Linked DNA regions of Ovis aries. The protein of the gene in region 3 purifies or fractionates together with the protein of the main gene of each other region. This does not show direct contact. Links are inferred from orthologs where the notes say so. Each region holds a gene or a part of one and is shown on either strand. Other genes may lie near its edges.

Evidence for each region.
Region 1: the proteins of NFKB2 (region 3) and CHUK purify together in Homo sapiens (affinity purification with western blotting; 4 studies listed by BioGRID and IntAct, with this or other methods). This does not show direct contact. The link is inferred for Ovis aries from reciprocal best matches to the Homo sapiens genes NFKB2 and CHUK.
Region 2: the proteins of NFKB2 (region 3) and NFKBIB purify together in Homo sapiens (affinity purification with mass spectrometry; 4 studies listed by BioGRID and IntAct, counting the BioPlex papers as one, with this or other methods). This does not show direct contact. The link is inferred for Ovis aries from reciprocal best matches to the Homo sapiens genes NFKB2 and NFKBIB.

Annotation. Positions count from the first base shown.
Region 1 is NC_056075.1:20,890,445-20,901,247, forward strand, and holds part of CHUK (inhibitor of nuclear factor kappa-B kinase subunit alpha), read right to left. Parts: intron 10,094-10,803; coding exon 9,991-10,093; intron 7,394-9,990; coding exon 7,270-7,393; intron 6,880-7,269; coding exon 6,728-6,879; intron 5,139-6,727; coding exon 5,077-5,138; intron 3,825-5,076; coding exon 3,715-3,824; intron 2,890-3,714; coding exon 2,840-2,889; intron 1-2,839.
Region 2 is NC_056067.1:47,979,560-47,990,462, forward strand, and holds the start of NFKBIB (NF-kappa-B inhibitor beta), read left to right. Parts: upstream 1-3,879; 5' UTR 3,880-3,944; coding exon 3,945-4,123; intron 4,124-6,351; exon of another isoform or gene 6,352-6,424; intron 6,425-10,903. Other genes in the region: SIRT2 (NAD-dependent protein deacetylase sirtuin-2), read right to left, coding at 2,610-2,656, 3,491-3,506. UniProt on the Homo sapiens protein: Inhibits NF-kappa-B by complexing with and trapping it in the cytoplasm.
Region 3 is NC_056075.1:22,789,671-22,799,720, reverse strand, and holds NFKB2 (nuclear factor NF-kappa-B p100 subunit), read right to left. Parts: upstream 9,729-10,050; 5' UTR 9,612-9,728; exon of another isoform or gene 8,295-9,611; intron 8,266-8,294; exon of another isoform or gene 8,077-8,265; 5' UTR 8,005-8,076; coding exon 7,984-8,004; intron 7,702-7,983; coding exon 7,620-7,701; intron 7,484-7,619; coding exon 7,443-7,483; intron 7,193-7,442; coding exon 7,094-7,192; intron 7,015-7,093; coding exon 6,863-7,014; intron 6,599-6,862; coding exon 6,492-6,598; intron 6,404-6,491; coding exon 6,245-6,403; intron 5,972-6,244; coding exon 5,867-5,971; intron 5,784-5,866; coding exon 5,680-5,783; intron 5,604-5,679; coding exon 5,465-5,603; intron 5,231-5,464; coding exon 5,102-5,230; intron 4,975-5,101; coding exon 4,765-4,974; intron 4,686-4,764; coding exon 4,544-4,685; intron 4,189-4,543; coding exon 4,074-4,188; intron 3,985-4,073; coding exon 3,771-3,984; intron 3,618-3,770; coding exon 3,448-3,617; intron 3,333-3,447; coding exon 3,230-3,332; intron 3,102-3,229; and 11 more. Other genes in the region: PSD (PH and SEC7 domain-containing protein 1), read left to right, coding at 216-359, 828-1,058. UniProt on the Homo sapiens protein: NF-kappa-B is a pleiotropic transcription factor present in almost all cell types and is the endpoint of a series of signal transduction events that are initiated by a vast array of stimuli related to many biological processes such as inflammation, immunity, differentiation, cell growth, tumorigenesis and apoptosis.

The DNA.
Region 1 (10,803 bases), about 1.9 Mb from region 3:
TGATGGAACCAGATGCCATGATCTTTGTTTTCTGAATGTTGAGCTTTAAGCCAACTTTTTCACTCTCCTCTTTCACTTTCATCAAGAGGATTTTAAGTTCCTCTTCACTTTCTGCCATAAGGGGACTTTTCATTATAGGGGACTGAAATACAAAAGTAGGAAGTCAAGAAACACCTGGAGTAACAGGCAAGTTTGGCCTTGGAGTATGGAATGAAGCAGGGCAAAGGCTAATAGAGTTTTGCCAAGAGCACGCATTCGTCATAGCAAACACTCTCTTCCAACAACACAAGAGAAGACTCTACACATGGACATCACCAGATGGTCAACACCGAAATCAGATTGACTATATTCTTTGCACCCAAAGCTGGAGAAGTTCTATACAGTCAGCAAAAACAAGACCGGGAGCTGACTGTGGCTCAGATCATGAACTCCTTATTGCCAAATTCAGACTTAAATTGAAATATCGCTCATTATTAGGGAAATGCAAATCAAAACTTCAATGAGATATCACCTTACTCTGGTCAGAATGGCCATCATCAAAAAATTGAGAAACAATAAATGCTGGAGAGGGTATGGAGAAAAGGGAACCCCCTTGCACTGCTGGTGGGAATGCAAATTGATACTGCTACCATGGAGAACAGTATGGAGATTCCTTATAAAACGAGGAGTAAAACCACCATATGACCCAGCAATTCCACTACTAGGCATGTACCCTGAGGAAATCAAAATGAAAAGGACATATGTAACCCATGTTCACTGCAGCTATTTATAATAGCTAGGACATGGAAGCAACCCAACATCCATTGACAGATGAATGGATAAAGAAGCTGTGGTGTATATACACAATGGAATATTACTCAGCCATAAAAAGGAACACATTTGAGTCAGTCCCAATGAGGTAGATGAACCTAGAGCCCATTATACAGAGTGAATTAAGTCAGAAAGAGAAAACAATTAACATACACTAACACATATATCTACTTCTGCTTTACTGACTATGCTAAAGCCTTTGACTGTGTGGATCACACAAACTGTGGAAAATTCTTTAAGATGGGAATACTAGACCACCTGACCTGCCTCTTGAGAAATCTGTATGCAGGTCAAGAAGCAACAGTTAGAACTGGATACAGAACAGACTGGTTCAAAACTGGGAAAGGAGTACATAACGGCTGTATATTGTCACCCTACTTATTTAACTTATGTGCAGAGTACATCATAAGAAATGCTAGAATTAAGACTGCCAGGAGAAATATCAATAACCTCAGATATACAGATGACACCACCCTTATGGCAGAAAGTGAAGAAGAACTAAAGAACCTCTTGATGAAAGTGAAAGAGGAGAGTGAAAAAGTTGGCTTAAAACTCAACATTCAGGAAATTAAGATCATGGCATCTGGTCCCACCACTTCATGGCAAATAGATGGGGAAACAATGGAAACAGTGACAGACTTTATTTTGGGGGGCTCCAAAGTCACTGCAGATGGTGACTGCAGCCATATTAAAAGATGCTTGCTCCCTGGAAGAAAAGTTATGACCAACCTAGACAGCTTATTAAAAAGCAGAGACATTATGTCAACAAAGGTCCATCTAGTCAAAGCTCTGGTTTTTCCAGTAGTCATGTACAGATGTGAGAGTTGGACTATAAAGAAGGCTGAGCACCAAAGAATTGATGCTTTTGAACTGTGGTGCTGGAGAAGATGAGATCCAACCAGTCTATCCTAAAGGAAATCAGTTCTGAATATTCATTGGAAGGACTGATGCTGAAGCTGAAACTCTAATACTTTGGCCACCTGATGTGAAGAGCTGACTCATCTGAAAAGACCCTGATGCTGGGAAAGATCGAAGGCACAAGGAGAAGGGGACGACAGAGGATGAGATGGTGGGATGGCATCACCAACTCAATGGACCTGAGTCTGAGTAAACTCTAGGAGTTGGTGATGGACAGGGAGGCCTGGCGTGCTGCAGTCCATGTTGCACAGAGTCAGACATGACTGAGCAACTGAACTGAAATGAACACATATATATGGAATATAGAAAGATGGTACTACAAAACCTATTTGCAAAGCAGCAATGGAGACACAGACATTATGAACAGACTTATGGACATGGCTAGGGTGGCAGGGGGGATGCGGAGAAGGAGTGGGTGGAGGGTATGGAGAGAGTAACATGGAAATATACATTACCATATGTAAAATAGATAACCAATGGGAATTTGCTGTATGACTCAGGAACTCAAACCAAAGCTCAGTAACAACCTAGAGAGGTTGGATGGGGAGGGAGGTGGGAGGGATGTTCAAGTGGGAGGGGACATGGGTAAGCCTATGGCTGTTTCATTTTAATGTCTGGTAGAAACCAATGCAATACTGTAAAGCAATTATCCTTCAATTAAAAATAAATATATTAAAAACTTTTCTATTTCAAACTTTATTACTTTGCCTTCCTAATTTCTTAAATTCTCACAGACTTAAATGCTGTTGTACTATAAACATCTCAATGTGAAGCTGAAGTGTTAGTCGCTCAATCATGTCTGACTCTTTGCCACCCCATGGACTGTAGCCTGCCAGGTTCCTCTGTCCATGGAATTCTCCAGGCAAGAATACTAGAGTAGTTTGCCATTCCCTTCTCCAGGGGAACTTCGTGACCCAGGGACTGAACCCAGGTCTCCTGCATTGCAAGCAGATTCTTTACCAACTGAGCCACTAGGGAAGCCCCTAAACATCTCAATGGCAATACCAAAACTGGAATTGATTCTGCAGCTTGCTTAAAATCCAGTTTCACAGATTTGTTAAGCTAGTGATGGTTTCCTAAAACACCTTTGTGTACTGTGAAAGTGTCTTACCTGAAGGTCTGTGCTTTAACTGCTTATATAGATCAATTGCACGCTGTTCCCTATGAAAGAGAAAACATGTTCTAAACATGAAGATAGTTTAACGACTTTTTATTTCCAACTTGAAATGAACAATATTATTTGAATAGAGTAACGACCCTATTTTCAAGTAATTATATATTGCCAACGAATATTTTACAGGGTGTTTCGCTGGGTAATAAGCAAGATCTTAAGATGCAAAGTTTAATATACTAAGTATCTGCTCTGATCTACCATCACTTATATAGTATCTCTGCACCAGAAACACTTAAATGGGAAAAAAATTATGTCCTGTGATTAAAGAAAAAAAAATCTGAAGTTTCTAATCCAAACACTTAGGACGTTAACCTTATTTAGGGAATTTAATAAATGATACCTTCCTTAAACCAGAAGTGTGGTAAGTAGGGAAATAGTTTGAACTTAAAATACTTGAAAAATTAGTAACACTCACATGAAAAGATGCTTCGGTTTAAAAAGCAAAGGTCATGGAAAAGAATTTGAAAAAGAATAGGTGTATATATATATATATATATATATATATATATATATGGGTGAGTCCCTTTGCTATATACTTGAAACTAATCACAACACTGTTAATCAACTATAATATAACCCCAATATAAAATAAAAAGTTTTTTTAAAATAAATAGTAAACATCAACCCAAAGAGTTATTGCCAAAATTTCCTGTGATTAGGAAAAAACTTCCTTTTTAAATATGATGCCAATGTATTTGTGGAAAGAAAACTATAGAAAAGAACCACATATAATCTTCCAGAAATACAATGAAAGAATAATCTGCTACCAAAAATTACAGACACCAACACTAACAACATGACTTCACCCTTACAGAGATTCCATCAAGTCTCCCTGACGTCGTCCGTAGGGGCTCTTCTGTAGCTCCATGATTTCAGTGTGCAGGGACATGATTTGATCCTCCAGGTATCCAATGACACCCACCTAAAATATGATGAAACACAAAAGAAATGACAGGCTCACCACCACACAATATGAGGAACTCAGAGAATAACTTCTTACAGTAACAGAACAAAGTGATTTAATGTAAAACACTGATTTTGTTCAAGTCTGTTTGTCTCTCAGATTATGGCATGTAACTTTCATATGAGAACCAACTTATTTCAGGCTTCTCTCCTGACAACAGTAGACTACTAGCATTTTCTTTCTCCTCCTGAGAAGGAAAAAGACAGAAGTGTCACTAATAAGTAAAAGTGACTATCAATACCACTGCATCTTGGTTCTACAATTTTCAGTGTCTCTTGTTCCCAACTTGAATAAGGATGCAGAAAGATAAAGACACTGGATTTCCCAACCCAGGATACCAACTGCCACACTCATTCCTCAGGAAGTGCTGGCATCAAGGAGAGCAACAATTTAACGGGACCACAGACAGATGTACCAGGTAAAGAAGGAATCTGCCACCTATAGTGTGACCATAAAAAATTTATTGTCCAAACCAGCAAAATTTTGAGAGTATTATTGATAATAAAGGCTTCCCTGATAGCTCAGTTGGTAAAGAATCTGCCTGCAATGCAGGAGACCCTGGTTCAATTCCTGGTGGGAAAATCCCCTGGAGAAGGGATAGGTTATCCACTCCAGTATTCTTGGGCTTCCCTTGTGGCTCAGCTGGTAAAGAATCCTCCTGCAGTGTGGGAGACCTGGGTTCAATCCCTGGGTTGGGAAGATCCCCTGGAGAAGGGAAAGGCTACCCACCCCAGTATTCTGGCCTGGAGAATTCCATGGACTGTATAGTCCAGGAGTCACAAAGAGTCGGACACGACTGAGCGTTTTTCACTTAACTAACTTAACTAATTGATAATTAAGGCAAGAGAGGTAAACGAAAACTGTCCCGAGTAAACCAGGATGTGTCCAGCCATCCTATCAAAACCAGTCTTAAAAATAACAGTGATAACTACCATTTATTAGTCACTCCCACTTAAATCTGTATAACCCCACTAAAAAAGGTCCCCATAATATAACATGGAAACTGAGGCTCAGTGAGGCTTCATTTTAGTCTCATTTACCCAAAGCTCTTGTTTTTATCCACTGTGGTACTTCCCTCTACATACACATACTAGGTATCTGTCTGATATTCAGGAATGATATGAGAAATACTCTACAAACCAAAACCAAAGAATTTCTAAGGGAGACCTCAGGAGTTAATAAGCACACAGAATGAGCTCAGTGATTTTACCTCAGCATAGTGGATAGCCTTTTCTTCCATTTCTTTCCAAGCTTTTAACATTTTTTCTGAGGCTAAAAAAAAAAGTCTTAATTGGTTATCTCAGAAATAGCCATAGGTTTAATTACTGACCTACCCATCTCCTTGCCATATTAACATCAAAAACAGAGTTATGAGTTGAATTGTTCCCCCAAAAGATGGTGAAGCCCTAACCTTGTACTTCAGAATTTGACCTTATTTGGAAATAGCATCAGGTGCAATTAGCTAAATTAAGGTTGAGTCTTAACCTAGTATGACTAGTGTCCTTTTAAGAAAAGAAGAAGAAACACAGCAACAGACATATGAACGGGAAAGCGCCATTTCACAACAGAGGCAGAGACTAAAGTGCCACAGCTGCAAGCCAAGGAATGCCAGAAGAATCTAAGGAAGGATTCTTCTCCATAGGTTTCAGAGAGAGCATGGCCCTGACAACACATCGATTTTAGACTTTAAGCCTCTGAAACTGTGAGATAATAAATTTATATTGTTTTAAGTCACCCAGTTCATCGCAATTTGTTATGGCAACCCTGGGAAACTAATACAGATGACTTTCTCTTAATAAAAAATAAAAAAATTTTAAAGTAATACATGAACATGGTATTTTTAAAAAATCAAACACTATATAGAGATATAGAAGTCTCCTCCCCTCCACTCTCCACTTTCTGCGATCCCAGTGTTAATCATTTCTTACAGCGACACATCTCCTTTTCTCCCATAAATAGAATCATCTCTATATACTTTTCCTTCCTTGCTTTTTCCTCCAGCTTAAAGCACTGCTGCCTTAAAGATCAAGTGATCTTTTAATATCAGCACACAGAGGTCTACCTCACTCTTTTTAAACAGTAGTCTAAGATATACAACTTAGTAAGATAAGTCAAAGAAAATCTGATGAAATAACTATGTTTTGCTATTCATCAGAATGCCTATAATACACAAACAGAAATAAAATATCAATCATAGAACCAGCTTTGGTAAGAAAACTTATTTACCCAGCTGGACACTGTTGATCATTTAATTCTGAAATATACACACCTTGCTCAAGATAAGTATACAAACAGAAATGCTGAAGGCAACTCTTTTGGTTTATTATTTGAATTTTAACTCTGCTTTTTACATTTCCTTAGTACATCTGAAGGGAGATAAGCTTAGAATTAAATACCAAAACATTGGAGGCTATGTACAATAAAAAACAATGGGACTCCACAGTAGGTTGTTTAGAAACTTTAAAAAAAAACCCTGAAATTGCATGTATTATTATTTATAGAAGGGTAAGTAATTTAAGACATCCCAGGCTAAGAAGTCACCCTAATACAGACTTTGTATCTATTTTTTAAATGAGGTTTGACAATCAAATTCTTAAATCATTTTGCATTTTTCTAAAGGCGAGCAATTTTAGTCCAATTGTGGGGGTGAGGGGTGGGCAGAGTAAAGCTGCTCAACTAAATGTTAAAAAAAAAAAACAACTAATATTCAAACCAAATACAGTTTACAATAATATGAGATGTCCTATCTTTTGTTCTAATATGAATGCAAGTGAAACAACTGGCTAACAGGTAAGAAGGTAACATAGCAGATGGCTTCAAGAGACAAGACACTTGTTTCAAATACATTATCCAACACTTACATATCCCGTACGTCATCTGCTCACTATATCTTTCCAAGTCAAGCTGAATGCTTTTGTGAAAAAACTCCAATTTTGCTTTCAGTTGCTGAGATGCTGAGATCAAAGTGTTTTTCATTTTTGTCAAGTTAGTATTGTATCTAAGAAGGCTTAACCTAAACCACAGCAAGAAAAAAACAAGATATAAGCATTTTACAAAAGTTTAAAAACTCGAACTGCCATAAGCCCAAAGCCTATGTTCCTATTATCAATCTATGAGAAACAGCTTATCTCTAGAATCTCATCTCTAAAGAATTTCTGCTTGTGATACTCTATGATAAAACAATCTTCTTATACTAGGACCATTCAGGAACTACTGTTAGTCTACTGCAATTGGATGGTTTCAGACTGTTAATAAGAATTCTACATGCCTCATCAGAATATTACATTACAAACCGGCCCAGTAATATATTTTTGCATGGGATATTGACTAGGGAAAAGTAGCAAAATTTAATTGAGCATGAATGCACATGACACTGTGCCTATAAACAAGACAATTCACTTACATGGCTGCTCTCTGTCCCTGAAAGAGCCTGCTGTAGTCTTCTTTCAGCCCAGACACATAGTGTACTGCTTCAGCCCAAACTTTACGCAACTGGATAATTGGAAGCTGTATTTTGCTGTCCTGTACTATGTGTAAGAAGATGGAGGAAAGGAGACGGGAATTACTTTTTAAGATTCTAGTGTTCATTTATTATTCTTTGTGATTTTCTGTCCATACAAATATTCCTATAGATGCTAGAAACCAGATGCTAGAAAGAACCACTTGTTACAGTTCCATTCAGTCAGTGTAACTTTATTGAACACCTGCACATTACTTGAGTCCTGTTCCAGATACAAGGGGAAATAAAAATGAAGACATAATTACTACATAATCACAAAGCTTACAATTATTCCTGTATCTGTCTTTTTCTTCCTTGTTTCTCTCCAATCCGGAATCCTCTTTTTTTTTCCCTCTCCAATAATCCAAATTATTTATTCTTTTGAAGTGCTAAACTAAGTCCCAAGTACTCTACAATCTGCTATAGTCTTTTTTGCTTCTGAATAACAAATTTCATCTCTTGAACTACCAACCCAGCTTCAGAAAAACACACTGGGTAAATATGCCTTTAACAATATGCCTTTAAAAATATGCCTTAAAAGATATGCCTTTCTCAATGCAAGACTTATGAAATTATCTATTTATGATAATCTCTTGTGTTTTCTTAGGTAAAGGGGATGTTTCTTTCTAAAACCATGGCAGGTAGATAATAAGTTCAATGAAATTTCATTTTAACATTATAAAATTCTCCAAGATTGAAGAGAGATTCATCTCGTACTTTAAGGTGGTGATTATATTCTGTTATTCTTTTCCAATGAAAATCTTCAGAGACAGGGCACTACAATAGGTTTCACATTGAGAAAACACATTATCTGAAACAGATGTCAAACAAATAAAGCTGTGTATATGGAAAAATCTTTGCCTCCCCTAATAATGATAAATAGCCTCAACTAACTTCTCTTCTATTTTTACATACCCACACTTAATCCTGAGGCTTCCTCTGACAGACCAAACAAACAAAACAAAATAAAAACTCACACACTTAAAAAAAGATAGTCTAGGGGAAGAGAGTCTAGAAAAAAATTATATATTAAAAAAAAAAGTCTGAAAGTGCCCAGAAATGATACCCCAGTAGCAAGAAGCATACCAAGTATCCAAATTTTGATTTCTAATGCTGTTCTCAATTAAAGGAACCAGGGCTCCTTGGAGAAATGGCCAATTCTAGGACTATGGTAGAAAATTTAAAAGATGCGCCTGGAATACTACATGGTACCAGAAAGTAAGGAAATGCTTAAAAAAACAAAAGCAAAAACAAAAACACCCTCACTGATGGGTCAAGTAGAAGAGGCATAGGAAGTCAAGTGAAAGAGCTTCTAAGGTAAGCTGCAACAATTTAAATAACAAAATAAACTAGTATTGGATTATAATCTATAATATAAAATAAATATCCATGAATTCAAATTTATATCATAAATGATTAAATAAATTAATAAATGGGAGAGAAGAGATAATTCATGTAAGCAGAAGCATTTTCAATAAATTATATAGACATTCTACCCTAAAGGAGGAGGCATGTAACTCCTACTCCTTAAGTGTGGATTCTTGCACAGTGATTTCCTTCCACAGAGTATTGAAAGGAGGAGAGGGTAAGACTAAACTTTACAGTGAAGAAAGCTGACTACTTCAAGGTAGTGAGCAAGGTAACACTAACAGTCGTTAATCATGTTTATAGTATGTACCGTTTATATAATGTTTTCAAAATGGCACTTGAATTCTTTGATCTTTCTCTCAAAAACCCATTATCCTAGCCTAATCATGAGAAAAAAATCAGGCAAATTGCAACAGAGGGGCATCCTACAACATATGTGATCAGCACTTTCAAGGTCATCAAAAATAAGGAAAATCTGAAAAACTATCACATCCAAGAAGAGCCTAAGCAGACAGGACAACTAAACGTAACATGGTATTCTGGATGGGATTCTAGAACAGAAAAAGGACACCAGATAAAAACTAAAAGAAATCTGAATAAAGTATGAACTTTAGTTAATAACAATATATTGGTTCATTAGTTGTAACAAAGTACCATAATAACGTAAGATGTTAACAACAGGGGAAACTATATGTGCAGGGGAATAACATAAGAACTCTGTCCTATCTGCTCAATTTTTCTATAAATCTAGAACTTTTTTTAAAACTAATGAAAAGGAAAGATTACATCATTTCAGCCCTTGTGACCAATTTTGTCCTTGATTTTATAATATGCTTGTTTTTAGTTTTGGGTAGATAGAAATTAACCACTTACTTCTTTAGTAGAAAACATTAATTCTCTGAGGAAAAATGAAATCATTTGAACATTAAGTAGTATTCATAGGATAAAATGAAGTATTTGAACATGCTTAAGTAGTGAAGAAACTAAAAAGTGGGCTTAATTAATAGTGAAGATTCAGTTTTTCACGTGAAAGTCATATTCATAGGAAAGTCGTCTTCTGCCAAATGAGGGGTCTGGTGGTGATTTAAAATCTACCTCTTCACCTTCCAAACCATACATACCCATCTTTTAGCACATATAGAATCCTGAAGTATGACACAGAACAGAAACACCAAAGAACCATTTCTACTAATCATGTCGTGTCAAAATTATATTACTTCAGGTTTAAAGCTCAGTCAGTAAATGAACTATACTTACCAATATAATTTACACAGTCAGATAAACTTCTGGAAGCAAATGGTCCTTCATATACAGTCTTACTTTTATCAAACAAATAAACCATATAGCTATCACAGCCCCTCTGAAAAAAAAAACCAACAATTAAGAAGAAAAGATTCTTGAAAATTCTAGGTTCTCTAAGCACCTAACCACCAAATTTCCTACTTTGAAATGCCAACTGTGAAGTCAAGTTCATTAGCAAACATCTCACAGACTTAAGGTCTAAATTTTTATTTAAGGAAAATAAGTAACAGTAGTATGGACTAAAGTGAAAACAGTCAACAGACCCAAAAGGGCAAAAGCAAAAAGTTACAACAACATACAATGGGAATACTTTTTCAGTAATCAAAAGGAATGAAGTAATGATATATGCTATGGCATGAATCGATCTCAAAAACATAACGGTAAGTGAAAGAAATGAGACACAAGGGATTAAGATTCCACTTGTATGAAATGTTCAGAAAAAGCAAATCTATATAGGCAGTAAGTAAATTAGTGATTTTCTGGGGTGGGCAGAATGGATACTAGTAGTTAAAGAACATAAAGACATGGAAATGTTTTAAAACTGATTTATGATGATGGCTGTGCAATTAGGGTGGTTTGCTAAAAAAAAAAACAAACTGAATTGTACACTTGAAATGGTTAAATTATATGATATATAAAATATGCTCAACAAAGTCAAAAAAGGAAAATGAAATGAGTCATGATCAGAATCATTTATTACCATCCATCCATCCTCTGACAGGACCTATGAGACTGCTGGTCTGATTTCAAGGTTATAAGCTTCAGGAG
Region 2 (10,903 bases), on a different chromosome or scaffold from region 3:
CCAGCCACCCCGCAGCCCGCATCACCTACGTCAATAATGCTGGTAGAAATGCCTCAGTCCTCACCCTGCGCCGTCAGCCCTCTGGCTTAAAGCCTCCCCACTCCACCTTTCCAACCCTTCCGTCTCCTTTATCAACTCCTCTCCTCGGCCAGGCGCCCAAATCGCGGGTCTGGGACTCTGTCCCAGGCCCTCCCTCCCGTCTCTGTCCGCCTTCCCTGGGCCAGCTCCCCCATGCACGCCAGTGGTCTCAGCCTAGTTTCTGAGGATGCCACCTTTCTGTCTCCAGATCCAGGGTTTCTGCAGCCCCCAGATGCCTCCCCTAAGTGTGACCCCAGACCCCTCGCTCTCACGGTGTCCCAGACTGGCCTCAGTATCTCTTCCAAACTTGCTCCTCCTCCTGGGGCCCTAACTCAGTGTGGCTTCTGTCCCCGTGTTTGCCAGATGTCTCCTGCCTCCCTCACCAGCCCTCCTGCCATAGCATGTCCCCTCCCCGGAGCTCCACGTGGGCCAGCCTGTCCCTCCAGGGGCCCTGCCCCGGCCTCCGCCCTAGCTCCCAGTCTCAGTCTCCATCTCTGATCGACTCTCCTCCTCTCTCTGTGTTGACCTGTCTGGGTCCACCCTTTGCCCTCCACGTCAAAGACCTTTCTCTTTGGCTTCCCCAGTTTAATCATCGGATCACAAACATCTGTGGCATTTACCATGATGCCCGCTCCAAGAAGTCTGGGATTTTTCATGGTCACCACTGGGTAAAAATGTTTGAAGTCCCTCAGTCGTGTCTGATTCTTTGCAACCCCATGGACTGTAGCCCGCCAGGCTCCTCTGTCCATAGGATTCTCCAGGCAAGAATATTGGAGTGGGTTGCCATGCCCTTCTCCAGGGTATCTTCCCAACCCAGGTCTCCCACATTGCAGGCAGATTCTTTACTGTCTGAGCCACCAGGAAAGCCAGGTTTCCTTGCTTTAAGATTGTATCTATAAGCTTTACAAAACTCTGACCATTAGGCAATGTATAACTTGAAGGTGCTTGCCTCCTGAGTCCTTCACCCACAGCCCCGCCTCCCCCACCCCATCCTCCCCTTCAAGATAGCCACTATTAACAGTACAATGGTAACTACTCCAGATTTCTTTCTCTGAATTGGCGATGGACAGGGAAGCCCGGCATGCTGTAGTCCATGGAGTCGCAGAGAGTTGGACACGACTGAGCGACTGAACTGAACTGAAAACTCATTATTTCCCCAGAAATGGGTCACCCCATAGTACAATGCTGCGCCTCGCATTTTCCACCAAACAATATATCACGGACCCGCCAGCTACAGAGTGTTGCATTGTACGGTTCATAGTTCATTTAACCCATCAACTGACAGTCGTTTGGGCTGTTTCCAGTTTGGCTGTATTGCACAATGCTGCAATTTACACCCTCGGATCTCTCTCTTTGGGACTGAAGGTCCCTTTTCCACATGAAACCTTTTTCTCTGACAGTGGCCAGGCTTTGGGAGCTAGCCGAGGGAGAAGCCTGGCCTGACAGGGAGCTCTTGTCCCCTTGGTGTGGCTCGGCCGTGCATCTGTGGGGCGCTCTCGTCACAGCTTCTGCTCTGCCCTACATGTGAACTGCGACCTCGTGTCTGTGGGTGGGCTGGCACGCTTTCAGGCTGCAGACAGAGAAGCTCTGTGGAAGGAGGCGAGGGCCCTGCCCAGCACGTGGGAGCAACTTGGTCTCAGGGGGAAGCTGAAGGTGATGGTGGAGCCTCTGTGACCCCTGCTTCCAGTGAAGTGTCTGGGAGGCAATATGTCAAGGCACCGAGGGTTGCAAACCTGTCCCTGCTCTTCTAGCCAATGGACAGAGGACAAGTTGTTAAAGAACTCAGTTTCCAATTCCTTGGCTATAAAATAACCACAGTAGACCTGTACTCCTCCCCTCCACCGCTGCCCCCAGGATGCTAGGATGCCCATCAAATAAGCAGAGTACTCAGTTGGCTTAAATACTCAGTAAGTGCTAACCATCAAGGTAATCAGCCACCTGAATCCTGAACGCATGACACTCTTTCATGCCCCCCAGGATACCCTCTGCCTGGGACACCACTTCTCACCTTACCTAAGAAAATCCTAAGTTACTCTCCACTGACTACCGTGTGCTGTATCTCAGTCTGACTCTGAGATCAGCCTGTGGACTCTTGCCGGGAAGGGATTGGCTGGAATCTGTGTGATCTCACACGGTTTACTCTGCGCTCCCAGAGTGCCCTGCGCTACTTTCATGATCACCAGTAGAGTCAGTGTCGAGTCACACGTCTGTGAGATCTGTGAATTCAGGAGCCAAATCTCTTCCACGCCCACTGGGAACGAGGTTCAGGAGGGAAGGTGGGTAGGAGGGGTGAGCAGGGAGAAAGGAAAGTTTGCAAGGGCAGGCCTAGGCTTGAGGCCGCACACCCTTCTCTGACAGGCCCCAGAACCCTCCATTCCCCCAGGAGCTAAACCACAAGGTGAGCCGGGGTGAGGAGCTGGGGCAGTGAGCTGAGGGCCCTGGGGTATCTGACTCCCCTCTGCCACCTCCCCCCAGTGTGGGGTGTGGGAAGTCCATCTCTCTCCTTCCCTCCACCCTTGTCCCCATCTCACCTGAGCCTCCTGCACCTTCCCTGCCTGGGTCTCCTCAGGGTCAGAGGCTGGGGGAGGAGGGGGAGCAGACGTGGTTACAGTGAAGGGATTGGTTAAGGGGGAATGAAGGGCTTCTAAGTCGGGGTAGAGAGGGGCAACAAGACCTCCAACCTAGTTATATGGGGTGGGGGTATCAAAAGGGAGTAGATGGAGGGAGGGAAAGGAAGAAAAGCAGATCTTATTAGAGTGGAGAGTGCTGGGAGGAGAGGTGGTTGGTGAAGGACAAAGAGGCTGGGACATGGAGGCTTAGGAAAGCGAAAAGAAAGTAAAGCATATAAGGGCATGAAGGAAGACTTAGGAGGAGTTAGGAAGGACACAGTAGTGTGTGAGTGTGTGCTGGGAGGGTTAGGTTTACAAGCAGAAGAAAATGTAGAAAGAAAGAGAAGATAAGGGATACTGGGGCTGGAGGCAAGTTTGCAAGAAGAGGTGGTGGGGGCGGAACGGAAGGGCGAGATGGCAGGTTTACAAGAGGAAGGAAGAGATAGGAGGGGACACCAGGGGTCCCCAGCACCCTACAGTTCCCACTAACAACCAGGTACCCTTAGCAACCCGGACAGCGGTATTCTAAGTCCCTAGTAACAAGGGTCCTTAGCAACTAAGGTGCGAGACACACGCTATCATTAGTCACTTAGGGGAAGTGGCAAACGGACCCTTAAAACCTCGAGACCCAGAAACCCACCAATCTATCCAGCAATATATATCACAACGGCTCCCTGAACCTCATTCCCCTCCATGCAGCCCCCATCTCCTGCCCCACCACTCCCGCCCTCGGGCCCCGGGGCCTGCAGCCCTCAGCCAGGCCCCGGCGCGGCCCGACCCTCCCACCAGGGCCCCCGACTCACGATCCGGATCGGCCATGGGCGCGGGGCGGGGGCCCTCGGGACTGTCACCGACTGCTCTATCCCGTGACGGCACCGGAAACAGGAGGGGGGCAGAGATAGGTCAAAGAACTACAACTCCCAGGAGGCATAGAAAAACGTCCGGAGCGTGCCCCTCTGAGGTAAGAAGAGACACGCGAGAGCCGGACTACGAATCCCAGAGTGCCTCGCGTCCGCAGCCATGTTGGTAAAGGGCGCGCGGAATGAGTGGGAAAGGGTAGAGAGTCGCAGTCCATCTGAATACTCTGATTGGTCACGGTGTAGTATGAGGGCGGGGCGCTTACTATTTAGCCGACTCTGATTGGATGAGTCCGGGGGGAGTGTTGGGGAATTCCCAGCAGGGCGGAAGCGCCAGAATTCCAGGCAGAGCCCAGCGACTGGCGGGCAGCCGCTGGGGTCCCCTGAGGCTTTGGGGGCTATGGCCGGGGTCGCGTGTTTGGGGAAAGCTGCGGACGCCGATGAATGGTGCGACAGCGGCCTGGGCTCTCTGGGTCCGGACGCGGCGGCCCCTGGAGGACCTGGGCTAGGCGCGGAGCTGGGCCCGGGGCTGTCGTGGGCGCCCCTCGTTTTCGGCTACGTCACTGAGGATGGCGACACGTGAGTGAACCTTAGCCTGCCACACCGAGCCTTAGGATGATCCCACATCTGATTCCCTGTTAGTCCCTGATACTGATTTTCCAACCTCTTAATCCTAAATCTGTCTTCTAATGCTTACTCTGACCTCTAACCCCCGAGTCTAACCCTTGATAAAATCAATTTCCAAGCTAGTTTTTATCATAACCCCGTCCTTTCTGAAACTTTGGCCCTCAGAGTTTCATATCCATTGACTAATTCCACATTCAAAACTCAATTTGAGCTTCCTGACCCCAGTCCTGAGACCTATCTTAAAACTATAGCTCACAGGCTCCTTCTGACATCTCACCTCCAAATATGATCTTTGATCCTTAGCTCCTAATTTAGGAGCTTTAAATTTTGATTTCCAAAATTAACATTTGGCTTTTGACTCTAAGATCTCCCACTTTCTGAGCACTGATCTTCAAATCCTACATTGAAAGAGAAAATGTAAACTCTATGACAGCAAGGATTCATCTGTTAAACAAGTATTTATCTAGCACCTACAGCGTTTCAGGCCCAGTTGTAGATGCTGGTGATAAAGCAGTGAAGAAAGCACAACAACTTATGCCTTGTGGAGCTTACGTTCTAGTGTGGGGGGTCTATAAATGGAAGGGCAGACAGACTGACAGGAAGGAAGAAAGGAACAGTAGGAGAAACAAAAAAGAAAGAGAGAAGGAAAGAAAGAAACAGAGAGCCGTATAGACACAAAGTAAGAAAGAGAGAGGAGAGAGAGAAGAAACAGGCAGAAAAACGAACGAAAGAAAAATGGTGTGTCAGAAGACAGGAATTTCCTTGGTGAAAAATAAAGCAGGAAAGAATGAGACAAGTAGATTATCTGGGGAGAGTATTCCAGGTAGAAGGAACGACGTCATAAAGACCTAATTGAGGGAATGTACCCGGGGTTTTTGTGTGTTGTGTTTACTGCCGTAGCCCCAGTGACAGAACGGTGTTTGACCCATAGGAGGCGCTCAAGAAACACCGGTCTTCCCAGAGAACCAGCTGTGCTTTCATTTATTTTCTCTCGTCTCTTTTTTTGCTTTCTGTTGTGTTTATCTCTGTTTTGACTTTCGTTATTTACTTTCTTCTGCTTACTTTGAGTTTATTTTTGTTCTTTTTCTAGTTTCTTAAGGTGAAAGCTGAGGTCATTGATTTGAGGCCTTCCTATTTTTCTAATATAGGATTCATGTGAATTTCCCGAAGTAGTGCGTGAGCTGTATCTCATCACTTCTAATGTGCTGTGCTTTCATTTCCACTTAATTCAGTATAGTTTCTAATTTCTCCTTTGATTTCTTCTTTGGGCGGTGGATTATTTAGGAGTATGTTATTTAGTTTCCAGATATTCCGAATACCTTCCTTTTATTGGTTTGTAGTTAAATTCTATTGTGTGTGCAGTTGAAAAGAATGTCTGGTATCTTGTTGTTGAGTGTAGTTCTCCAGATGTCAGTTAGAGGTTGTATGGGTTTCTTTTCTAAAACTTTTATTGATTTACTTTTGGCTGTGCTTCGTCTTTCTTGCTGCCCACGGACTTTCTCTAGTTGCGGTGTGAGGGCCTCTCATTTTGGTGGTTTCTCTTGTTGCGGAGCAGTGTCTCTAGGGCACAGGCGCAGTAGTTGCTTCGCGTTGGTTTAGTTTCCCCGAGGCATGTGGGATCTTCCCGGATTAAAGACTGAGCCTGTGTTCCCTACCTTGGCAGGTGGATTCTTTAGCACTAGACCTGTAAGTCCTGTGCTGGTTTCTTTGGTTCTTCTCTTTTCCAAGTCTATTATATCCTTGCTGGTAATTTCTCTCTACTTGATCTATCAGTTACTGAGAGTAAGGTATTGAAATCTTTAATAATAATTGTGGGTTTCCTTGTTGTTTTATCAGGTTTTCCTTCATGAGACTGGATGCTCTGTTATAAGGAGTGCAAATGTTTAGGTTTATTGTGTCCTCTTCCTGAACTGACCTCTTTATCATTGTGAAATAATCTGCACTATCCCAGGTAATATTCCTTGCTCTGAAATCTTACTCTTATTTTAAAACACTCCTACTTACTTTTGACTGACAGGCGTTAGTATGGTATATCTTTTTCCATCTTTTTATTCTTAACTTAGTTTTAAATTTATTTGAAAAGCTGTTACTTGTATAGTTAGGTTTTGCTTTTTAAAAAAAAATGTTTATTTTTAATTTATTTGGCTGCATCGGCTCTAGTTGCAGCATGTGGGATCTTGTTCCCTGACCAGGGATTGAACCCTGGCCCTCTGCATTGGAAGTGCAACGTCTTAACCACTAAACCATCAGGGAAGACCCTAGGTTTTGCTTTTTTATCCACTCTGACAGCTTCTCCTTTTTTAAAATTTGTGTTTATTTAGCTGTTTCTTTTTGGCTGCACTGGGTCTTGGTTGCTGCACACAGGCTTTGTCTAGTTGTGGCGAGCGGGGTATGCTCTCTAGCTGTGCTGTGCAGGCTTCGCATAGTGGTGGTCTCACTTGTTGGGGAGCACGGGCTCTAGAGCACACAGGCAGTTGTGGCACGTGGCGTTAGTTGCCCCACGGCATGTGGAATCTTCCCAGACCAGGGATCAAACCCATGCCCCCTGCCTGCCATTGCGTTGGCAGGCGGATTCTTAACCACTAGCCCACCAGGGAAGTCCAGTGTCTACCTTTTAATTGGAGTGTTTAGACTATTTGTATTTAATTAATTATTGATATGGTTATGTCTGTCATCTTGTTATTAGTTTTCTACTTATCTCTCCTTTGTTTACCTTTTTTTCCTGCCTTTTGGAATGAGCACATTTTGTTCCATTGTATTTGTTTTGTCGGCTTGTTACCTTTTACTCATTATTTTTTATTTTACTGGTTGCTGGGAAAGATAGGTTGGCAAACTGGTTTCCAGGCAAAATCCAGCCAGGCACCAGCTTTTGTATGGCTGTGAGCAAAGCATGGTTTTTTACATTTTTAACTGGTTGGAACAAAATCAAAAGAAGAACATTTCATGGCAAGTGAAAATTACATGAAATCCAAATTTTAGATTCCGTAAAGTAAGTTCTGTTAGAATCCCGCCGCGCCGCCCATTCATTTATCAATACATATCACCAATGGCTGCTTTTGTATGCTAATAGCAGAGCTGAATAGTAATAGACAGACCATAGCATCCACTAAGCCTGAATTATTTATCTGGCCCTTTACAGAAAATGTTTGCTGACTCCTGCTTTAGGGCTTCTCGTGGCCCGTGGGCTTAGTACACGCTCCCCAACCAGGGATCGAACCTGCGTCCCCTGCATCGCGCGGCAGATTCTTCACCACTGGGCCACCAGGGAAGCCCCCACTTTACCTTTATTATGTGCCACCTTCAAGTGCTGTTGTGCTCCTTCTCATAACATAAAAGAACCTTAGAATCGTGTGTTTCCATTTGTCTCTTCCTGGCCTGCAGTGTGTTGCTGTCACAGATTTCCTTTATCCATGTATTCTAAACTTCAGACGTTGTTACTTTTGCTTAAACACTCCTTTGTTTTTAAACCCTATCAGAAGATAGGAGATTTACATATTGAGAAAGAAAAAATCTTATGTACTTACGCATATAGTGACTGTTTTCAGGGTTCTTTATTTTGTTTTCCATATTTTCATTTGATGTCATTTTCCTTTTTGCTCACAAGTTTCCTTGAACGTTTCTTGTGATGTGGGTCGGCTGGTGATGAGTTCCTTCAACTTTTGTGTAGTGGAAAGCATGTATTTTTGTCTCTGTCTTTGAAAAATATGTTGGCTGGGTTAAAGAATTCTAGGTTGACAACCTGTCTTTGAGTACTTGAAAGAAGCGGCTGTGCTGTGTTCTCTTGCATTATTTCCTTTGTGAAATCTGCTGTCATGCTTATTTTTATTCCTCTGCACTTAAGGTATCTTTTCCTCTGACTGCTTTGAAGGTATTTACCTTTATTGTTGGTTTTGAACAGAGTTTCCATGTTGGGCCCTGGTGTGTGTGTGTGTGTGTGTGTGTGTGTGTGTGTGTGTACATGTTGGGCCCTGGTGTGTGTGTGTGTGTATGCATGTTGGGCCCTGGTGTGTGTGTGTGTGTGTGTGTGTGTGTGCATGCGCATGTTGGGCCCTGGTGTGTGTGTGTGTGTGTGTGTGTGTGTGTGTGCTAAGTCGCTTCCGCTGTACCTGCCTCTTTGCGACCCTATGGACTATGGCCCACCAGGCTCTTCTGTCCGTGGGATTCTCCAGGCAAGAACCCTGGAGTGGGTTGCCATGCCCTCCTCCAGGAGATCTTCTGACCCAGGGATCAGACTTGTGTCTCCTGCGACTCCTGCATTGGCAGGCAGGTTCTTTACTGCTGAGCCACCGGGGAAGCCCCATGCTTACCTCAGTTACAGATATATCGGGCTGCTTATATACAGATAAATCCCATGGCTCACTGACGTTCTTTCTATTTTTAAATATTTCTCTTTGTGTTTCATTTTGGACAGTTGCTATTGTGAAGTCCTGACGTTTGCTAATCTATTTTCTGCAATATGTAATCTGTTGTTAATGCCATCCAGCATATTTTTCATTTTAGGTGCTGTAAGGTTTTGTTTTTTTTTTAATGTTTATTTATTTGTCTGCACCAGGTCTTAGTTGCAGCGTGTGGGATCTAGCTCCCTGATCAGCGATTGAACCTTAGCCCCCTGCATTGGGAGCACAGAGTCTTAGCCGCTGGACCACCAGGGAAGTCCCTGTGTCGATTTTTTTGGTGGATTTGAGATGGGCATGAAACCTGGTCCGTGTTACTTCTTGGGAGAGAGTAGAAGTCCTACTTAGTAAACATTGGAGACCTCCCTGGTGGTCTAGTGGTTAAGACTCCATGCTTCCACTGCAGGGGGCGAGGATTCCATCCCTGATTAGGGACCTAAGATCCCATATGCGGCCAAAAACAAAAACAGAAAAATGAAATAAAACACCAAAGAAACAAAAAGTACCAAACCAAACCAAAGCAAAACAAAAAAACACATTGATTAAATAAATTTGCTGAGTTAACTCTGACCTGACCCTCCCAGATTCCTGACGGCTGGTTCTAGAGCTGTGGGTCATCACGCTTTGCACAGTGGGTCCTCCATGTTTGCTGAAGGAATGAATGCAAGAGTGCTTGTCCTCATAAGAAGGAAAACAAACAAACAACCCCTCCACCCACCAAAGAAAAAATCCCCAGTTCAGTTCAGTTGCTCAGTCGTGTCCGACTCTTCGCAACCCTATGAATTGCACCACGCCAGGCCTCCCTGTCCATCACCAACTCCTGGAGTTCACTCAAACTCATGTCCACAGAGTTGGTGATGCCATCCAGCCATCTCATCCTCTCGACCCCTTCTCCTCCTGCTCCTAATCCCTCCCAGCATCAGGGTCTTTTCCAATGAGTCAACTCTTCGCATGAGGTGGCCAAAGCATTGGAGTTTCGGCTTTAGCATCAGTCCTTCCAATGAACACCCAGGACTGAGCCTCTTTAGGAAGGACTGGTTGGACCTCCTTGTAGTCCAAGGGACTCTTAAGAGTCTTCTCTAACACCACAATTCAAAAGCATCAATTCTTCGGCACTCAGCTTTCTTCACTGTCCAACATTCATATCCATACATGACCACTGGAAAACCATAGCCTTGACTAGACAGACCTTTGTTGGCAAAGTAATGTCTCTGCTTTTGAATATGCTATCTAGGTTGGTCATAACTTTCCTTCCAAGGACTAAAGTGAAAGTGAAGTTGTTCAGTCATGTCCGACTCTTTGTGACCCTGTGGACTGTAGCCCACCAAGCTCCTCTGTCCATGGAATTCTCAAGGAAAGAATACTGGAGCAGGTTGCCATTTCCTTCTCCAGGGGATCTTCCCGACCCAGGGATCGAACCCGGGTCTCTTGCATTGCAGGCAGACGCTTTACACTCTGAGCCACCAGGGAAGCCAATTTCCTGGCTGCAATCACCATCTGCAGTGATTTTGGAGCCCCAAAAATGAAGTCTGACACTGTTTCCCCATCTATTTCCCATGAAGTGATGGGAACAGATGCCAATATCTTAGGTTTCTGAATGTTGAGCTTTAAGCCAACATTTTCACTCTCCTCTTTCACTTTCATCAAGAGGCTTTTTTGTTCCTCTTCACTTTCTGCCATAAGGGTGGTGTCATCTGCATATCTGAGGTTATTGATATTTCTCCCGGCAATCTTGATTCCAGCTTGTGCTTCTTCCAGCCCAGCGTTTCTCATGATGTACTCTGCATACAAGTTAAATACGCAGGGTGACAGTACACAGTCTTGATGTACTCCTTTTCCTATTTGGAACCAGTCTGTTGTTCCATGTCCAATTCTAACTGTTGCTTCCTGACCTGCATATAGGTTTCTCAAGAGACAGGTCAGGTGGTCTGGTATTCCCATCTCTTTCAGAATTTTCCACAGTTTATTGTGATCCACATAGTCAAAGGCTTTGGCATAGTCAATAAAGCAGAAATAGATGTTTTTCTGGAACTCTCTTGCTTTTTCGATGATCCAGCAGATGTTGGCAATTTGATCTCTGGTTCCTCTGCCTTTTCTAAAACCAGCTTGAACATCTGGAAGTTCACGGTTCACATATTGCTGAAGCCTGGCTTGGAGAATTTTGAGCATTACTTTACTAGCGTGTGAGATGAGTGCAATTGTGCGGTAGTTTGAGCATTCTTTGGCATTGCCTTTCTTTGGGATTGGAATGAAAACTGACCTTTTCCAGTCCTGTGGCCACTGCTGAGTTTTCCAAACTTGCTGGCATATTGAGTGCAGCACTTTCACAGCATCCTCT
Region 3 (10,050 bases):
TGGGGCCGGCCTAGGCCCACCGCACTCGAGGCTGCTGCCTATGATGTGGCTGTCCACTGCACCAGGATGTGGGGGGCCATGAGGCTCAAATCCAGTCAGTTAACCCAGACACCAGGTGCTTTGTTCATCCAGAGGAAGGGGCACCTTTCCAAAAACCTTGCACAAAGGCACTGTCTCTGCCAGAGTAACCCTGATCATGCTCCCCTGGCCCCTAGGAGGAGCAGGTGCGGACCCATGAGGCCAAGCTGAAGGCCATGGCAAGTGAGCTGAGGGAGCATCGGGCCACGCAACTGGCCAAGAAGGCCCGGGGCAAGGAGGCTGAAGAGCAGCGGCAGAAGGAGGCATATCTGGAGTTTGAGGTAAGCTCCCAGCCCAGGCACCTCTTGCTCCCTCAGGGCCTCTATGTCCCATGCACAGGCTCAGACACGTGGTTAAGGGCATGGCTCAGAGTGGGACTATCTGGGTGACCCTGGGCGGGCAGCTTTCTTGCCATGAGCCTCAGTTTCCTCTCAAGTGACACAGGGAGGACAGTAGTCTGTCCCCACTAGGGTGATGAAAGGAGCCGATTTCTGCCAAGGGCTCCAGTTTGCTGACTCTGGTAAAGGCTCCAGGAACACGAGGTGTTACAGCTGGCAGTCTACAGAGTCCAGAGAACGGCACCAGAACACCCAGGGGTGTGAGTGGTCACAGTCAGTCCTTGGGGGCTTCAGGGGCCCCAGAGGTTGGCGAGAACCTGGTATCTCCTAGCCTTCTTTGCCTCCCTGCTCCAGATGGGGTGGGCTGGGCAGAGGGGCACGAGCAGGCTCACCGCTGCCCTTCTGCCTCAGAAATCCCGCTACGGCACATACGCAGCGCTGCTTCGGGTCAAGCTGAAGGCAGGCAGCGAGGAGCTGGATGCGGTGGAGGCAGCAGTGGCCCAGACTGGCGGCACGCAGGATGGACTCCCCCCTCCTCACTCCAGTCCCTCCCTGCTGCCCAACACCTCCAGCCAGCCCCGGGCACAGTGTCCTGACTCAGAGGCTCGGGCAGGGGCAGGCAGTGGGCGGTGGAAGCCCTGAGCTGGGGGTGGGAGTGGGGGGGCGGTGCCCACTGGGCACCTGCATGACACGGCCCTGCCTAAGCCCGGGCCGGCCTCGGGCCACCTGTGAGGGCCTCTCGGTCCAGGGCCTGACCGCGCCGGACGCGGTGTCCGGGGCAGGGCAGGGCTAGGGCATGGGCCTCAGGAGCCTTAGGCTAAGGGCCCCTCTGAGACCCCTTTTTTGTGATAATGTTTTGCACTTTTTCGTACAGGGGATGGGGGTGGGAGGGGCCAGGCCCCCTGGACTCTTGATGCTCCTTTTTTTTTTTTTTTTTTTTTGTGGGGGAGACCTGACGTTTCTGCTTTCTGCTGAGACCACCCCCACCCCTGACACCAGCAGTCCCCCTCCATCCTGGGGCCTGGCTCAGACACAAGCCAGGAGTTGGGGTTGAGCTGGTTTCCCTCCTTTTGCCCTGAGGGCTCACCCTCTCCCTTGCCAGAGGAGGAGGATGGATGTCCAAGCTGAGGCCCCGTGCACAGGCCAGGCAGTGCAGCCTTGCTTCCCTCCTTCAGTGGGCCCTGCCCTTTGTGTCACCTCCACCTCCATTAAAACTGCTCTCGACTTGCTGGCTGGGCCTCCTCCTCTCTCCCGTGCCTGGCCTGAGGCCAGGGTAGGCATTTGCTTCCCGAGGACAAGCGTCACACACATCAGGGGCTGCTGTAAGTTGGGGAGGAGGCCAGGCCCCCTCCCTTTCCCATGAGAATCTTTTATTTGCCCCAACTGAAGGGTGGGCATGGGGTGTTAAATAAGAACTGGAACAGGCAGGGTCACTGTACAGAGGGGGCCCGGAAGGGGCTGGTGGGTAGGGAGCGGTTCAGTGCACCTGAGGCTGGGGGCGCCCGTGGCAGAGCCCTCCTGGCGGCTCAGGGGGTGGGCCCAGCTTCTCTGTTTCCTGTTCCACCGACTGGCTCCCATAGGCACTGTCCTCCTTCACCTCTGCTGGGGGAGTGGACGCGGGAAAGGGTGCAGGGAAGCGTCAGGCCTTAGGCCTCCCACCCTCCAAGCCCAGATCCACCTCTCAGTTACGGCCCCTTTACCTGTGCTGGGCAGCTTTTCCTGGGTCTCTGGACCCTTCAGCAGCCTCACCCCCTCCTCCAGGCCCATGTCAGACAGGGCATTCAGCAGGCCTGCCAAGTCGCCACCAGCCAGCTGAGGAGAAGGAGGAGGCATGAACCAGGAGTTGTGGTTAGGGTGTGGGATCCCTGAGGAAGCGCCAGAGATCTGAGACTGGGGCATGGAGCATGGGCCGGGGCCTGACTGACCTGGTAACTGCGCAGGAGGCTGCCACTGGGCGAGGCTGTCCTTCGATACGTGTCCACCAGACTGCGCAGCCCCAGCCGTTCTGCCAGCTCCGCCCAGCTGCCCTGGGCTCCTGGCCCGTCAAGCAAATGCTCCAGGTTCTGTAGGACTGTATCTTCAAGGGGTATCTCTGGCCCTGAAGGGGACACACACATAAACATGTTAGTTACCCCCAGAGATGGCAAAGACAAGACACCCAAATGTCACCTTTATCTCAAGGCAACCTGATAGATAGTGCAGGCGGGGCCACTGGGGCAGTGGATGGAGGATGGGGATGGAGAAAGGGAGACCTCCTTCAGTGGTCCCGAAGGATAAGAGACCGCTGTGAGCAGGGGTCAAGGGTCTGGCAGTGGTGGGGGAGAGCTCTTCACCTGCAGGGCTGGGCGGGGTCAGCGGCGGCGCCATGGTGTCCTGAGCAGCGTTTAGCAGCAAGGTCTTCACCTAGGGAGACAGCTTCAGCCATGACTACCTCCCATCACAGTACTTGACCCCAGGTACCAGCTACTCAGGACCCCATGTACAAGCCCGGATGCCCCATCCCCTGGTACTGCTAGTCCTGGGCTGGCCTCACCTTGCTACTGCGAGTGAGGTCAAGAGGTGTGTGGCCCCGGAAGCTGCCTCGAGTGTCCCTCTCAGGGCTCTCAGAATCTGAGTCACTACCAGAGGTGGGAGGCGAAGGCAGTGGGCACAGGGGCTCCTCGTTCTCTGCGTGGACGTCAGCACCTGGGGGAGGGAGATAGTCACAGGGAGGCTCCCTCGGAGCCCACGTTAAGGACTGCAAAGTGCGGGATTGGGAGGTACCCCCTTTCCCCCGTCAGCCCTGTTCATAAGCCCCCGAGGGTGGGACTGACCAGCCTTCAGAAGGAGGCGGGTGAGGGTTGGGGATCCCAGTCCAGCTGCCAGATGTAGGGGTGTGTTTCCCGCAAAGGTTCGGGCATTCACGTTGGCCCGGAGCTGTGGGGTGCGAGGGAGGGGTTGATCATAGCACTGACTGATCCACTGGGCCTCCCCCGACACCTTCACCGTCCCCAGCCCTTGGCTCTACGTCTTCCACAGTCCTCAGTCCCACCTTGGTAACGAGATGGGTGACCAACCCCAGCTCCTCCATCTCTGTGGCTAGATGCAGGGCTGTCCGGCCCCCCTGACGCTCTGCAGCCTCCACTTCAGCCCCATTCTCCACCAGCAGATCGAGGCACTCGGGGCTTCGGGCACGGACTGCCAGGTGGACTGGGTATAGCCCTAGTGATACAGGGTATTCAGCCCGCAGCTCTGCCCCTAATGTGAGCCCTTGACCAGCTGACCTCCACACCTCACATCCACTGTAGGCGCTCCCCAGATCCTCTCCCTGGTGCCCACTCTTGCCCGCTGGTTCAGATGAGGTGATGAACTCACCTTCGAAGTCGGGCACATGCAGCAGTTGGGGCATGGCAGGAACCCCACTCCGCAGCAGGGTGCACAGCATGTCGGGGGCGCTGGCACCTGCCCGGAGTGCCAGGTGCACTGCTGAGTCTCCATGCCGATCCAGCAGTGCTGGGTCTGCGCCCACCTGCAGCAGGAAGCTCACCACCTTCGTCTGCCCTGTGATCACTGCCAGGTGCAGGGGCGTCTGGGGAAGGCAGGCAGGGTGAGCCAGGCCTGCTCCTTGCCTCACCTATCTGACTTCCAACCCCTCCCCCTCACCAAGAGACCCCTCACCTGGTGCAAATGATTGGTGATATTAACCACGCCGAGGTGTGGGGCGTGGTAGATGACGTGAGCTATTTGCTCAATGACGGTGGTCTGCCCGTGGATGATGGCCAAGTGCAGCGGCCTAGGGATTGGTGGGTGAGACTCTGGCCTAGGAAGCTCAGCAACTCGTTTTGCTTTACTCTCAAAACTCCACCACCTCCATAATCTCCCTCTCTCCAGCCCACGAAAGTAAATCCTTCCGCGCACCTTTTGTGGTAAGTGCGTACTATTACTGTGCCCCTTAATCGACAAAACTGAAGTCTACAGAGATTTAAGTATCTTGAACAGAACTAGAGCGTAGCGAGGCCGAACTTGAAACTGGGTCTCCCTAACTCCGGAGCCCTGGCTCTATAGGTCCCTTCCCTGCTCCACACCCCACGACCTTGCACCGGTGGCGTGCGGAACCCTGGTCCCCGCCCGCTCTCCCGCCCACCTACGTGTCTCCGTTCTCATCCTGTGCCGTCAGCAGGTGGCGCTGTCCCGCCAGCAGCGAGCGCGCGTCCGCCGTGACGCCGTAGTCCAGCAAGGCTCGAGCGCTGCGCTGCGCCAGGCCGAACAGCCGTGCGTTGTACTCCCGGGCTGGGGGTGACAGGGGGCGTGGGTGTGGGCTAGGTCCCCACCCGCAGCGTCCCGACCGCTGGGATTCCCGAGGTCATACCTCGATGCAGCAGCTCCGGGGCTTGCTGTTCGCGCTCGGGCGTCCCGGGGGGCGCGCTCGGCTCTGCTGCTTCCTCCCCAGCATCCACACTAGGCGTCTCGGCGGCCATCTGGGCCCCACCCCCTCCTCCCGGGTAGCAGCCCATGGGGGCCGCGCCCGACTGGTAGGGGCTGTAGGCCAAGGAGGAGGGGAAAAAGCCGAGGCTGCCACCTGTGGATACAGGCAGAACTGTGGGCAGAGGGCACCAGGAGGACTCTCCCAGATTTCTTCTCCACAACTTTTCTCCCCTTTATCCCATCCTCCTCCATTGCCCTTCCTGCCACCAGCACCACCTCACCTCCTCCTCCAGCTCCTCCATAACCCCCAGCCGAGCCCCCAGAGCCTCCACCCATGTGGGAGCCACCCCCAAAGGGCTGGGAGAAGGTGGGCAAGGCTTTCCTCCGCTTCCGCTGCACCTCCTCCTTGTCTAGGGGCAGAGGGAAATGAGATGTTAAAACCCCAACTCGCACCAGCCTCAAGAGCCCTGTCCCACTCTGGTAATGGCCTTTCCCCCAAAAGCCCTCAGGCTGGCTCCTAGGGCCACCTCTTTCTGGGACATTCCCTACTCCTGATTTCACTCATGAGTCCCCTGATCTAGTTCTTGAGACCTCCAGTCAAGCCCTGGCCTCCAGCCCCCCTGGGATCTTCAGCCCAGCTCCACCTTCTACCAGAGGATAATAGGTGAACTGTTTGGAGTCAGAGACATCCCCCCCACGCTTGCGTTTCAGTTGCAGGAACACGGTTACAGGACGCTCAATCTTCATCTTGTGATAGGGAGGTGTCCGGAACACAATGGCATACTGGAGGAAGGAGGACATAGGTGTCATTAAGGCCTTACTTAATTTGAGCCCAGACCCAGCCCTGGCCCTAGGGTACCTGTTTGTGAACATCTGTGGGAGAGAAGTCCCCAAAGGCTTGCCATCCATTCTCATCATCCTCGTAGAACCGAACCTCGATGTCATCTACAGGGAAAACTGAATCTATAGGGCCATTTGTCCTGAAGCTGTGTTGCTCCCCAAGCTTGATGCCCATCACTAGCTCCCAGCCTGGGCTCCAGCCTCACCTTTCTGCACCTTGTCACAGAGCAGATAAACCTCATCTCCACCCCGCACAGAGCCAGCTGTCTTGTCCATTCGAGAAATCTTCAGGTTTGAGGCTCCAGGAGACTCTGGAGATGGCATATCAGTTACTTGAAATGATTCAATAGCCATGGTCCCAACTAGGGAGCCAGGTGCTTTGTATTTTAACAACCGCAAGAGACACAGGAACTGCCAGTATCTTCATTTACTCAGAGAGGGGACGTGACTTGCTCAAGATCACTCAGTTCATACATGGTGGGCCCAAGTTCAAACCCAAGCGTATCTGACTCCACAGTTCGAGGCTGCCCTCCACACTCCCTGTGGCACCCAGACCCAGCACCCCAGGTGGTCAGGATACTCACTGCTGTCATGTATGGGCTGGGAGATAACTGGCTTCAGGGGCAGAGAGAAGGAGCCATCACTGGCTCGAAGGAAGGCAGAAAAGCGCAGTCGCACAATGCTCAGATCCATCACCTTCTTCAGTTCCTTGGCCTCCTGCTCCAACTCTCGACGCTCAGCCTCTGGGCAGTGGGCATACATGTGACCCCTGGACTCCTCCTCTATTCCTTCCATGACCACCTCCCATGACTCCCTCCATATCCCCCATACCCGTAAGGCCCTGGGGCCTGGAGCGAAGACGCTGCCTCTGAAGTTTTTGTATCATAATCTCCATCATGTTCTTTTTAGTCACATGGAGGACACCCAGGTTGTTAAATCTGTGTGGGGGCAGGGAGAAGTCAGAGGCCTTGCGGGCAGTTCTTTCCTCCTGAGGCACCCTACCCACCGGCAAGGCTCGGCCCTGCTCTACTTCCTCTAGGAAGCTTTTCTAGTTTTTACTTGGGGCCCTGGGTTCTGGGGCCAACCAGAGTCTTTCCCCTTGGTCAGATGCTAAGCTCACAAAGGTGGGCTGGGACCTAGGACTGGCAAGCAATGAGGGGCACACCAGTGGGGACCAGAGGTAGGGGGCACCGGACACCTACTGGGCAGTCATGTCCTTGGGCCCCACAGACACTGCGCAGACCCCCAGCTCCGAGCACTGTTTGCCCACCAGACTGTGAGCATGGGCACGAGGTGGGTCACTGTGTGTTACCAGGTCCACCTCAATCTTGGCAGGTCCCTCGTAGTTACAGATCTGTGAAGGGTGAGGGCTGTCAGTAATGCCCATGGACACACTGTCCACTAGCCCACCCTCCAGCACCACCCTGGCTCACCTTGACCGTGGGATAAGTCTTCCGGCCCTTCTCGCTAGAGGCACCTGGCAGTCCTCCATGGGAAGGGCCTTCACAGCCATATCGAAATCGGAAGCCTCGCTGAAGGTGCCAGGGCAGAGTGACATTGTGACCAGGAGAAACATCCCCCCTCACCAGCCACATCCCCAGCCAGCAGTGACCATAATGACTGGACGTATGTATCCTGAATCACCACCAGGCCACTGTGATCAGCAGCTGCTAACAATCCCAACCCGAAGTGGGTCTGTGATCAGTTACCCTGCCCGTGGCCACCCAGCTACAACTGTCCCACTTGCCCCCAAAATTGAAGCCATCCCTTCTACTTGCTCACCTGCTTAGGCTGTTCCACAATCACCAGGTAGGGACCATCAGCTGGGGACAGAGGAGCCTTGCTGAGCCAGGACCTCTGAGCCCATTCCCAAGACAGAGGGCACACACACCACATGCTCCTCCCTCCTCCTCCCTCCCGCTCCCTCCAAGACAAGGGCAGGTCAGGGGACTTATTAACCTGTCTCTGGGGCTGGCTCCTTGGGCTCCACAATGGACGGGTTGAATTTGAAATCATCATATTCAATGATGCCATCCAGACCCTGGTATGGAGACAGACTGAGATGGCAGCTGATTCTGAGCCACCCCCAGAACCCTCCACCTCTCAGCTCTCTAAACCATTAGCAATCACCCCCTCTCCTAGGCAGGCCCATAAAAAAGCTCCTACTGAAACCAGTTTGCAGAGACTGACTTACAGGCAGGGTGAAATAATCTGAGGACATTAGAGGTGCAAGGGAGTAGAAGGGACTAGGACAGGCAGGCAGACAAGCAGACAGGCACAGGGGGGCAGCCGGCAGGCTTTGAGGCCAGGCGGCGTGACTCACTGGGTCGTAGCAACTGTCCATGACTCTGGGCTAGGCCCGGCTCTGTCCGGTGGCTTCGGCCGGGTTCTGTTTCCCAGAGTTTCAGGCGCCCGCCTTAGGTGGGGAGGAGTGGCGGGTGTAGGGAGAGATAGATCAGGACGGGAGTTGGGGGGAGAGAGGGGCCCAAATTTAGGGGAGGGTCCGATCTCCTCCAGCTACCCGTCCGGGTGTGGCGGGCAGGATCCGGTGGAGGGCGAGATCCGGAGTTGGGCTGGGCCAGGCCGGGGAAGGGGCAGGAAAGTTAGAACAGCTTAGGAAAGTCCCGAAAATACCAGGGGGAGGCGGGGCCAGGGGGCGGGCCTGGAAATGACGCCACTGACCACGCCCCCGGGCGGGAGGGGCGCGAGGTCGTCTCTTCGCTGGCCGGAGAGCGCCTGCAGCGTCTCTGCAAGCAGAGGGGCAATCAAACCCAGGGAAGGCCCCGCGGGGTTGGGGGGGCACCCCCCTCCTCTCTCCAGGCCGGCGCCGGGGACTGGGGGTCTTTCAAGGCCGGAGGAAGCTCCTAGTCCGGGGACCGGCCCCCCCGCCTTCCCCCTCCTGGAGCAACCTTGGGATTTTCTACCCTCAGGGAGGCCACGGCTGATTCACCCCGGGGGGTTTTGGGGGGACATTCCTGCTGTAGGAAGGCCTCCACCCCGAAGGCCTGTAGGTGGGGGCTCTTCCGAGTAGAGGGCCCCGGGGTTCTGTCCCGAGAAGCAGTCTCTGAGGCCAAGGGGCCGGAGGGGGTGTTGGGATGGGCACCTCCATTCCCTCTTCCCGAAAATCTCAACAGTCGTTGATTCCCACACCGCACCTGCTTTGGGTGCCCCGCCCCCGCCCCTGTCCCATGGCCGTATGTAACACTTGTACAGGTGTCTAATATGTTTCAGCCCATGTGCTTGCGCATTGTGTGCATGGCGTGGACATGCGTGTACAGGTGAGAGTCCTTAAGCTTATTAGTGTGGACACATGTCAGCGTGTATCTGAGGGCACAGGGGAACCTGTCGTTGAGTTTCTGCGTGGAGGGTGTGTGTCCAGGCACCTGTGCACGGGTGAGTGTGTTTTGCGTATGCATGTATGTGCGAGTCTGAATGCATGGGCGATCCTGTGCACCTGCGGCATACGTGTAGATGGACGTACGGCCCATATCTTTGTACAGGATATCGATGTGTATCCGCATGTCCTGTTCGTATGCGCGCTCTCTGAATGCGCAGATGCCGCTCTTCAGCTCTAAGGCTCGGTCAGCTAAGGACCCTCCTCCCGCCCTTGCCGGTGTCCCACCACCCAGGGGTCTGAACCCGGCCACTCACCGCGGCGGTGGCTCCGGTTCAGGATTCTCTCCCGGCCGGACCCACCTCGGACGGGTCGCGACACCTCTCCCACCACCAGGACTCCAGCCGGGAAAGCCCCTTTTCCGCCCCCGGGAGGGGGGAATTCCCGTGACGTTTCCGTGCGTCACTCGCCATGCCCTTTTTCATTGGCTGAAAGTTTAACTCCTGGACTTACACAGCCAATCGGGAGTGACTCAGGGGCGCCCCTTGGAGGAGAAATATTTGTGTAGCTCTGGAAGCCAGAGTGAGAATGACCCTCAGACAGGCACTAGCTCTAACCTGGGGACCACCCCGCTGCGGGATCCGCTGACCGAGCGCCATTCCCCAGCCGAGGCACCTGGCTCCGGTCTCCTCACACCCAGGCCTGTCCAAGCCGGCTGGCAGCCCCTGCTGCTACTCGGTTTTATGCTGCGCCTAATGCTCGGCCACCTCTGAAGTCGGGGAACCCCAGGGGGAAGCTGATATGCCTCAGCCCCTCTGGTCCCGCCCGGAGCGGGGCCCGGCTGCCGGGAAGACTTAGAGGAAGAGGAAGGAAGTTAATCTTGCAGTAGGTTCTAGAGTGCCATCTGGTGGCCCCTCTGGAGCCTCAAGGAGACTCCATAATCCTCTGTCTTCCCGGGAAGAAAGTGTCTGGACCTGAAACTTGTTTTGTAAATGACAGGTTAACAGCTGGCCAGACTTTCAGACCTGAGCTCAGGAGGTCTTCCGAGGATAAGGG